Linked DNA regions of Rattus norvegicus. The protein of the gene in region 2 interacts with the protein of the main gene of each other region in a pairwise test. Links are inferred from orthologs where the notes say so. Each region holds a gene or a part of one and is shown on either strand. Other genes may lie near its edges.

Region 1 (3,649 bases), on a different chromosome or scaffold from region 2:
GGCGGTTGGTAATCGCAACTCAATCCAGAGCCCTCTCCTGACCTCCAAGGGCATCAGGCATGCAAGTGGTATTCATAGCGATCTACAAGCAAAATAACTATCCACATAAACTAACAATTCCAAAGGAAAAGTTAGAAAATAAACACAACAAAAGGGAGCATGAAGCTACAACTGCTTTCGTGTTGGTTACCTTTCTGTGTTCCGACACCAGCAGCCTTAGCTGCATTTCAATTTCATTGCTCGTGGCTGACGCGTCAATCGTGGACGCGCACAGAGGGGGGAAGGGAGGGAGAGACGTAGTAGCACCTGGAGCACACACAGACTTAATTGCTTCTTCGCTCATGGGTTTCCACTTAGATTCATCATTCAAATCAAATACGCATGTCTCTACTGCATCCGAGGGTTGACAGTTCCCCAGGAACGTCTGATGGTTGAAAACGCAGCCGACTGTTCGGTAGGGGTACAGGGGTTTGGGCTGCTCAGCAAGAGGAGGTTCATCAGGATTCGTAGGCTTGTGGATGTACCTAAAAGAAATGGCAGTTTTGCACTATGAGAATCTTTAAAGATAAAGGAGTTCTCTTACTCTTGCTTGCTCACATGTGTGCGCTTCTGTGCAGATGGGAGGCCAACACTGTGTCTCACTGCGACACTGTCCACTTTCCTTCTTCTGAAGATGAGGTCTTGCCCTGAACCCAGAGCTCACAGTTCTGGGTAAAATAGATGGTCACAGAATCCCCGGGGCCCTGCTGTCTTCCCTACTCACAGGTCTGGGGAGTATAGGACATGCCCACACTCAGCTTTTACGTGAGTTCTGAAGATGTGAACTCATGCTTGCACAGCAAACGCTCTACTGAGCCACCTCCCCAATTGAATACTCTGCCTCATCTACAGAGCACATCTTTAAAAACCAACTTCTATTTTTTTAACAATAGAAAATATTCTAAGCTGGGTGGCAGTGGAATACACCATTAATCTCAGCACTTGAGAGACAGAGTAGGGGTTGGGGATTTAGCTCAGTGGTAGAGCGCTTGCCTAGCAAACGCAAGGCCCTGGGTTCAGTCCCCAGCTCCGAAAAAAAAGAAAAAGAAAAAAGAAAAAAGAGAGAGACAGAGTAGGGCAAATTTCTATGAGTTCAAGGCCAGCCTAATCTACAAAGCAAGTTCCAGGAGAGCCAAGGCGACACAGAAAAACCCTGTCTTGAAGAAAAGAAAGAACGAAGGAAATATTCTATGTCTATGGTGAAGATCAAGAAAGTTTATCCCAGAGAGTATAAGAATTAAAATAATTTACCTGTATAATATTAGGCATGACTATTCAAAATGATTATCAGCTAGGGAGAAACAGAACTTAGGAAAATAGGGAAGCGGCCCAGCCCTCTACAACACTGAACGCTTAACACAAGATGAAGGAAAAACAAGAAAGAACATCCAAGAAGAACAGAGTTGGTGCCCACTTCAGATTTTCAAACTAAACCATGATTTTCAACTTGAACTCATTTTTAGTCTTAGGAATAATCACCAGAAAATAAATGTGCCAATCACACAAAATGAAAAGTCAATATATCATATGTATTTTACTAATAGCATGATAGTAAATATTTTAGAAGTACATAGTATTCTCCTAAAAGTCATTTACTTAGCTACCATATGTCAAAAAGCCTCTAATAACTAAGATTATAAACATGTACTTCTGAGTTCCATCCAAACAAGAAAAACAATTTCTCGGAGGCTCAGTGTGGAAAGATGCTGCCAGGCCTCCCGACCTGAGTGTGAGCTCCAGAATCCACATGGAGGAAGAAATCAAGTCTGCAAGTTGTCCTGATTTCCTCACACTGAATGAATGAATGAGTGAATGAATGAGTGAATGACTGCAGGGCCTTGGGTTTGATCCCCAGCATCACAATAATGCCTGTGTTTTATTTAAGTTTTCTCACGCTGTGGCATGCGAGTGGAAGTCAGAGGACAGGTGTGTGGACCTAGCTATCTCTCTGCTTGTGTCTACCCGCTGAACCATCTCATTGGCCCTAACCCTGCGGTATACTCTCCTTGTAAACTTAGCTGACTGACCTGTGCCCTGTTAAACTCTCCCAAAACATGATGGTCCCATCAGTTCCACAGGTCATAACCCATGCATGAGGTGCCCCCTTGGCCTTCGTCCCAACACAGACAAAGGCCTCCAGTCCATATCCAAGAAGAAGGCTGCACAGCAGGTTAGCGTGGTCTTCACAATCACCCTAGAAAGAAAGTCCAGTAAAATTAGTATGTAGTCATAGTTCTAGTAACACCTAAGTTTAAAAGATCAATAAAAACTTCAACTTTAATTTTTTATCCAGTGTTAATCTAAAACAAGGAGACAAATATGCTAATGTGAAGATTTATAAGGTAAAGGGGATGGACAAGCAAGTTGAAAAATACTTCAGTAGGAGATGCAAATTAATGAAGTGCTCAAATTAAGCAAACAAGTTCAACAGTGTTATATATACTTTTAAGGTAGGTAAAATGATTACAAGAACAATAAAACAATAAGATGTTTATTTTTGGGGTGAACTGACTTTCTGTGTTGTGGCACTGTTTCCTATAGGCTCTCACTATCTGGCAAGGACTAGCCTTCGATTTGCTGATGGCTGCTCTCTGGCAGAATGCGTGGATTACAGGAATGTCTCCACGCCCACCCCTCATTACACTGTGTCTAACTTAAAAACAGTATAAAACTCGGTAAGATCAGAGTAGAGTGAGTGCCTCGCACGCACAAAGCCTGGGTCTCCAGCACGCCACAAGCAGGCCAGATGGTACATATCTGTAAACCCAGCCCTCAGGAGGTAGACCAGAAGTTCAAATTCATCTCTGGCCACATAGTATAGGCATCTATTAGATATGTTTAAATGGACAGATATTTTAGGTATAAGATTATTATAGGCTACATGCAAAATTAGTGACTGAATATAAAAATGAAGAATTCTTTCCCTCAAAATTTTATTTCTGGTTCTATGGTTCTAACTACCCCTCCCCCAACACCCACCCTTTTTTTGCTGTGATGTAAACTGAACCCAGGAATGCTCTCCCACTGAGCTATACACCCTTATCATAATATTTAATGAAAACTTTTGGAGCCAGTATGTTTTCTTCCTGAGATTTTTGTTATAAAAAACCCGAAATAAAATTTAAGAGGCATTTAATGCAAAAGTTCATTTAATAACATCAAAAAGCCAAAGCAAACTAGGTATAGGGGGTCATGCCTTCCGCCCCGGCACTGGGGAAGCAGAGGCAGGAGGATCTCTTATATGTTGGAAGCAAACCTGGTCTACAGAGCAAGTTCTAGGACAGACAAATGGCTCAGCAGCTAAGAACGCTTTCTACTCTTCTAGAAGTCCTGAGATTAATTCCCAGCCACCACATGGTGGATTATAAGCTGGATGGAATCTGATTCCCTCTTTTGGCGTACATGAAAACAGAGTACCCATATACATAAAATAAGAAAAAGCTATGAATTCAATAGAAAAACTGTTCTTAGCATAAAAGAACAGGACCAATGAAATTTTATCTATATATTACCTGCAAATTATGGAATGATATGCATAATAAATAAAATTATAAAAGGTGATAAATTGGGAATGAATTATTAGTTGCTTCTTTAGTGTTATAATGGTCAT
Region 2 (3,649 bases):
CATTTCCCATGGGAAAGTATTGGTGACAGCTCCTGGTAATAAGGCCCCTGGTAGAACAAGTGGGGACAAAGACCCAAGAGCTGGTTGTGATGGCACACATCTGAAACCCTGCACTTTGGAGGCTGAAGCAGCAGTATTATGACTCTGAAGGCAGTCTTGGAAGATGAGACTCAGAACTAAATGGAAAAATCAAGTATTCTACAACTTCTCTCCCCAGGAAAGCTGAAACACACACAGAGCATGCTGAGCTCCACAGTCTTACCCGTCTTATCCTCCAAGACCTTGTTAAACCACTGCAGTGAGGCTCTCCTCTCCATGTCCAGGTCTTCAGCAGTGATGGAATAGCCAAGCTCAGGGGGTGGAGGCTGCCCAAGCAAACAGAGACAGGTTAGACCAACCCCAGAAGCTGTGGAAACCTGCCCCAGACTCCCTAAGACTAAAAGAGCTGAGAGGGATCGATAAGACATACCAAGGTGAGCTGGTCCCCTCGCCGGGAGGGCAGCAGCTGAATCTTGCGTTTGCGTTGCCCGGAGCTGCCAGGTGTGGGTGGGGAAGTCCACAGGCTCTGCTGCTTCCCCGTGGCTGGATCTGTAACTACAGAAACAAGGGTTGCTGGCCTCCCTAGTAAGGTCAAGACAGTTTGGAAGAGATTGTTTTCTGTGTTAGTGTTGTTTCTGACTGCTTCCGGAACAGCTGTGACCCCACTCCTCAGAGCCCAACCCTGAGCTCATGGCCTGGCAGTCCTCATATTCTGCAGTGGACACTCTTCCTATGCTGGACCTCCAAAGGGCTACAACTATCTTCCAAGCCTCACAGTGGCTAACTTCCACTGGAGATGCCACTCTCGGCTCCCATGGCTTCTCTACTTACCCTTTTCTCCTGGGGACTCCTTGTCTGTCACCAAGGGAGCTGAAGAACTGGACTGGTGACATGGTTCCTCCTCTCTGTGGAGATTGTGAAAAGCTAGGGTTTACTTGGGAAGGCCTGGAGGCTGCATGGCACCCCCCACACACACTTGCACATTCCTACACAGGCAAAGTCTAGAAAAACCACAGCTCTAGGTGTCAGCATATCACTATGAGTTGACAGAGGCCATGAACAACCAGCCTTTAATCAAATACAGAACAGGGATCTGCAAAGCTTTACTCAAAGCCTGCCAAGTCCAGGGTCCCAGACTACATCTTCAGGCTCTAACGGTAGGTTAGTGCCAGGAACAAGGAGGAACTGGTGAGGAAGCAGGCCCAAGACAGACAGACAGACATACAAAATAAAAAAAGGCTGGGTGGCAGGTAGGGAGGTGGGGCCAGACACAGACAGACCTGATCCTTGAGGGAGCTGAGCTCCAGGGAAGGGTGAACTGGGGCGAGAGACTCAGGCTCCCTGTTGACCGGGTCCACTCTGCACCACTCCCAGTGGAGTATGAGACAGAGAAGGAACTCCAGCCATCAGCTGCTCTCACTGTAGGACAGGGACATAACTCTAGCAGGCTCTTTGCTACTTTTCTGGGGTTTGACTCTTTGATTTGCTGAGTCAGAAAAAGCAGCCCACCAGCTAATCCCTGTTAAGCCCATTGCCCCGTCCATACAAAGTGACCAGGAGGGAATGATGATCACCTTGTCTTCTTGGCTGGCCTCTCTGGTGTCTGGGAGCGGGAGGAAGCTGGGCTGGAGAAGGGAGAAGAGGTGGGACCACTCCTCTTCCACAGCTGCAAGTCAAGCAGAGACACATCTGAGACCATTACTGGCAGATGTTCTGAACTGGCCAGACGGTGAGGCACACACCTTTAATCCCAGCACTAGGGAGGCAAAGGAGGGTGGATTTTTTGAGTTCAAGGCCAGACAGGTCTACATATTTAGTTCTAGAACAGCCAGGGCTATTTTACTGAGAGACTGTGTCTGAAAAAACTAAAAAGAAAAACAAACAACTACAGCAAAACTAAAAATAACCTTTTTGAGAGTGTGGAGAGCTGGCTCAGTGGTTAAGAAACACTTGCTGCTTTTGAGGACGACCCAGGTTGGTTCCCAGCCTCCACACCAGACTGCTCACAAGTACTATAATCCTATTCTAGGAGATTGGTGGCCTCTGGGCACCTGCATGCATATGTTGCCCCTAAACTCTCAGAGGCCCAAATAATTTTTCTTTTCTTTTATTTTTTTTAAGACCATGTCTTACTGCATAGCCCTGATTGCAATTTACTACGTAGACCATGTATTCCACCACACACTGCAAAATAATAAGTTAAAAAAAAGAAATTAAAAAAAAAAATAAAAAGGTAATACTTGTATTCATTATTTCAACAAAAATCACCTACAATAACAAGTACACCCTGCACTTTTACAGATTCTGACACCCCATGAATATGAATATGAATATAAAATACCAGCTGGGTATGGAGGTGCAAGCTGGAGACCTAATCCTCAGGAGGCAGAAAGAGGAGGCTCATTGCTCGTTCAAGCCCAACCTGAGGTACAGCAAGCTTCAGGACAGCCAGGGGACACATGAGACCGTGTCTCAAAAACAAAAGGAAAAACACAAAGGGCGACTGATCTACCTGCAGGAGCCTGTGCAGCTCCTAGTGTCAATACCAATACTCAACCCCAAGCACGCCTGCCAGTGGGGCTGCCTGGCTTCCCCACCTATGGACGCTAACTAACTCTAAACAAGAATGACAACTTCTTCATGCATCAAAACTCACACTAAATTCTAGTTGCCTATAAATCTCCTTTATATTCCACACTGAACAAACTCTTTCAGTCCCATTTACCGCACTGCTTTTCAGTCTCTATCTGCAGGCTCTCTGTACCAGGTTTGCTTGCTGTTTATCCCACTGATCTCGTTTATTTGCTACTTCAGGCTAGAGCCAGGTTCAGTGCAAAGCAGGAGGGAGGTCTGCTCCTTTGCTCATGGAGACCCACCTGTGAGACACCTCGGGTGGAGCTGTAGGAGCTGGTGATGGCGTTGCGGCTGGAGCTGGGGATGCCTCCTGTGCATGTGCTAGTCAGGGAGCTCACAGAGGAGGTGCGAGACCGTTTGTTCAAGTGGTCATCCGAGCTCTGGGAAGCCAGACTTCTCTTCAGGGAGCCAGGCCTAACAGAAAGGAAGAGGAGGACATAGGCTACTGCAGGCAGGTGTGTGACCGAGGGCACTATCAACAGATGATATGGCCGCCTGTATCTGACAAAGTGACTGGGTAAGCCACAGCATGGGAAACACAAACAGGAAGAGCTACACCTTGATTGTGGCATCAAGGGGACATCAGTTTAACATCTGTCAATGATCCCTCAATAAAGCTGCTAAAAAAAACCTCAAGAGTTGAGCACCAACTACTCTGTCCTGAGACTCCAACCAAAAAGAGAAATCTCCCATAGTCCTTTCTGTGTTGCTTAGCCCTGTTACGGTATGGTCCCCTTACCATTTCCCAGGGCAACCCGCATCAACCATAAACCAGTTCACGGACAACTGTGGCAGTGTGCTTCTTCTCTCTCACCTGGGCATCCTGCTGCAGCAGAGCCAGCAATGTCCCCTCCTTCCACCAGCACTCCACCGCTTTAGCTAGCTCCCAGACACCTGTGTTGCTTTGAGACAGTGCTCTGGACTGGGGCCTTCAAAGCCTCCTCACCGACCTTTTGCCTGTTTAAGGGCCTTTCAT

What was found.
Region 1: the proteins of Pom121 (region 2) and Cep76 interact in binary tests that used the Homo sapiens proteins (3 or more experiments, as listed by UniProt). The two-hybrid records come from large-scale screens. The link is inferred for Rattus norvegicus from reciprocal best matches to the Homo sapiens genes POM121 and CEP76.

What each region holds. Positions count from the first base shown.
Region 1 is NC_086036.1:63,454,358-63,458,006, forward strand, and holds part of Cep76 (centrosomal protein of 76 kDa), read right to left. Parts: intron 2,234-3,649; coding exon 2,067-2,233; intron 525-2,066; coding exon 191-524; intron 1-190. UniProt on the Homo sapiens protein: Centrosomal protein involved in regulation of centriole duplication. Required to limit centriole duplication to once per cell cycle by preventing centriole reduplication.
Region 2 is NC_086030.1:26,919,871-26,923,519, reverse strand, and holds part of Pom121 (nuclear envelope pore membrane protein POM 121), read right to left. Parts: intron 3,088-3,649; coding exon 2,916-3,087; intron 1,706-2,915; coding exon 1,614-1,705; intron 945-1,613; coding exon 871-944; intron 595-870; coding exon 470-594; intron 366-469; coding exon 263-365; intron 1-262. UniProt on the Homo sapiens protein: Essential component of the nuclear pore complex (NPC). The repeat-containing domain may be involved in anchoring components of the pore complex to the pore membrane. When overexpressed in cells induces the formation of cytoplasmic annulate lamellae (AL).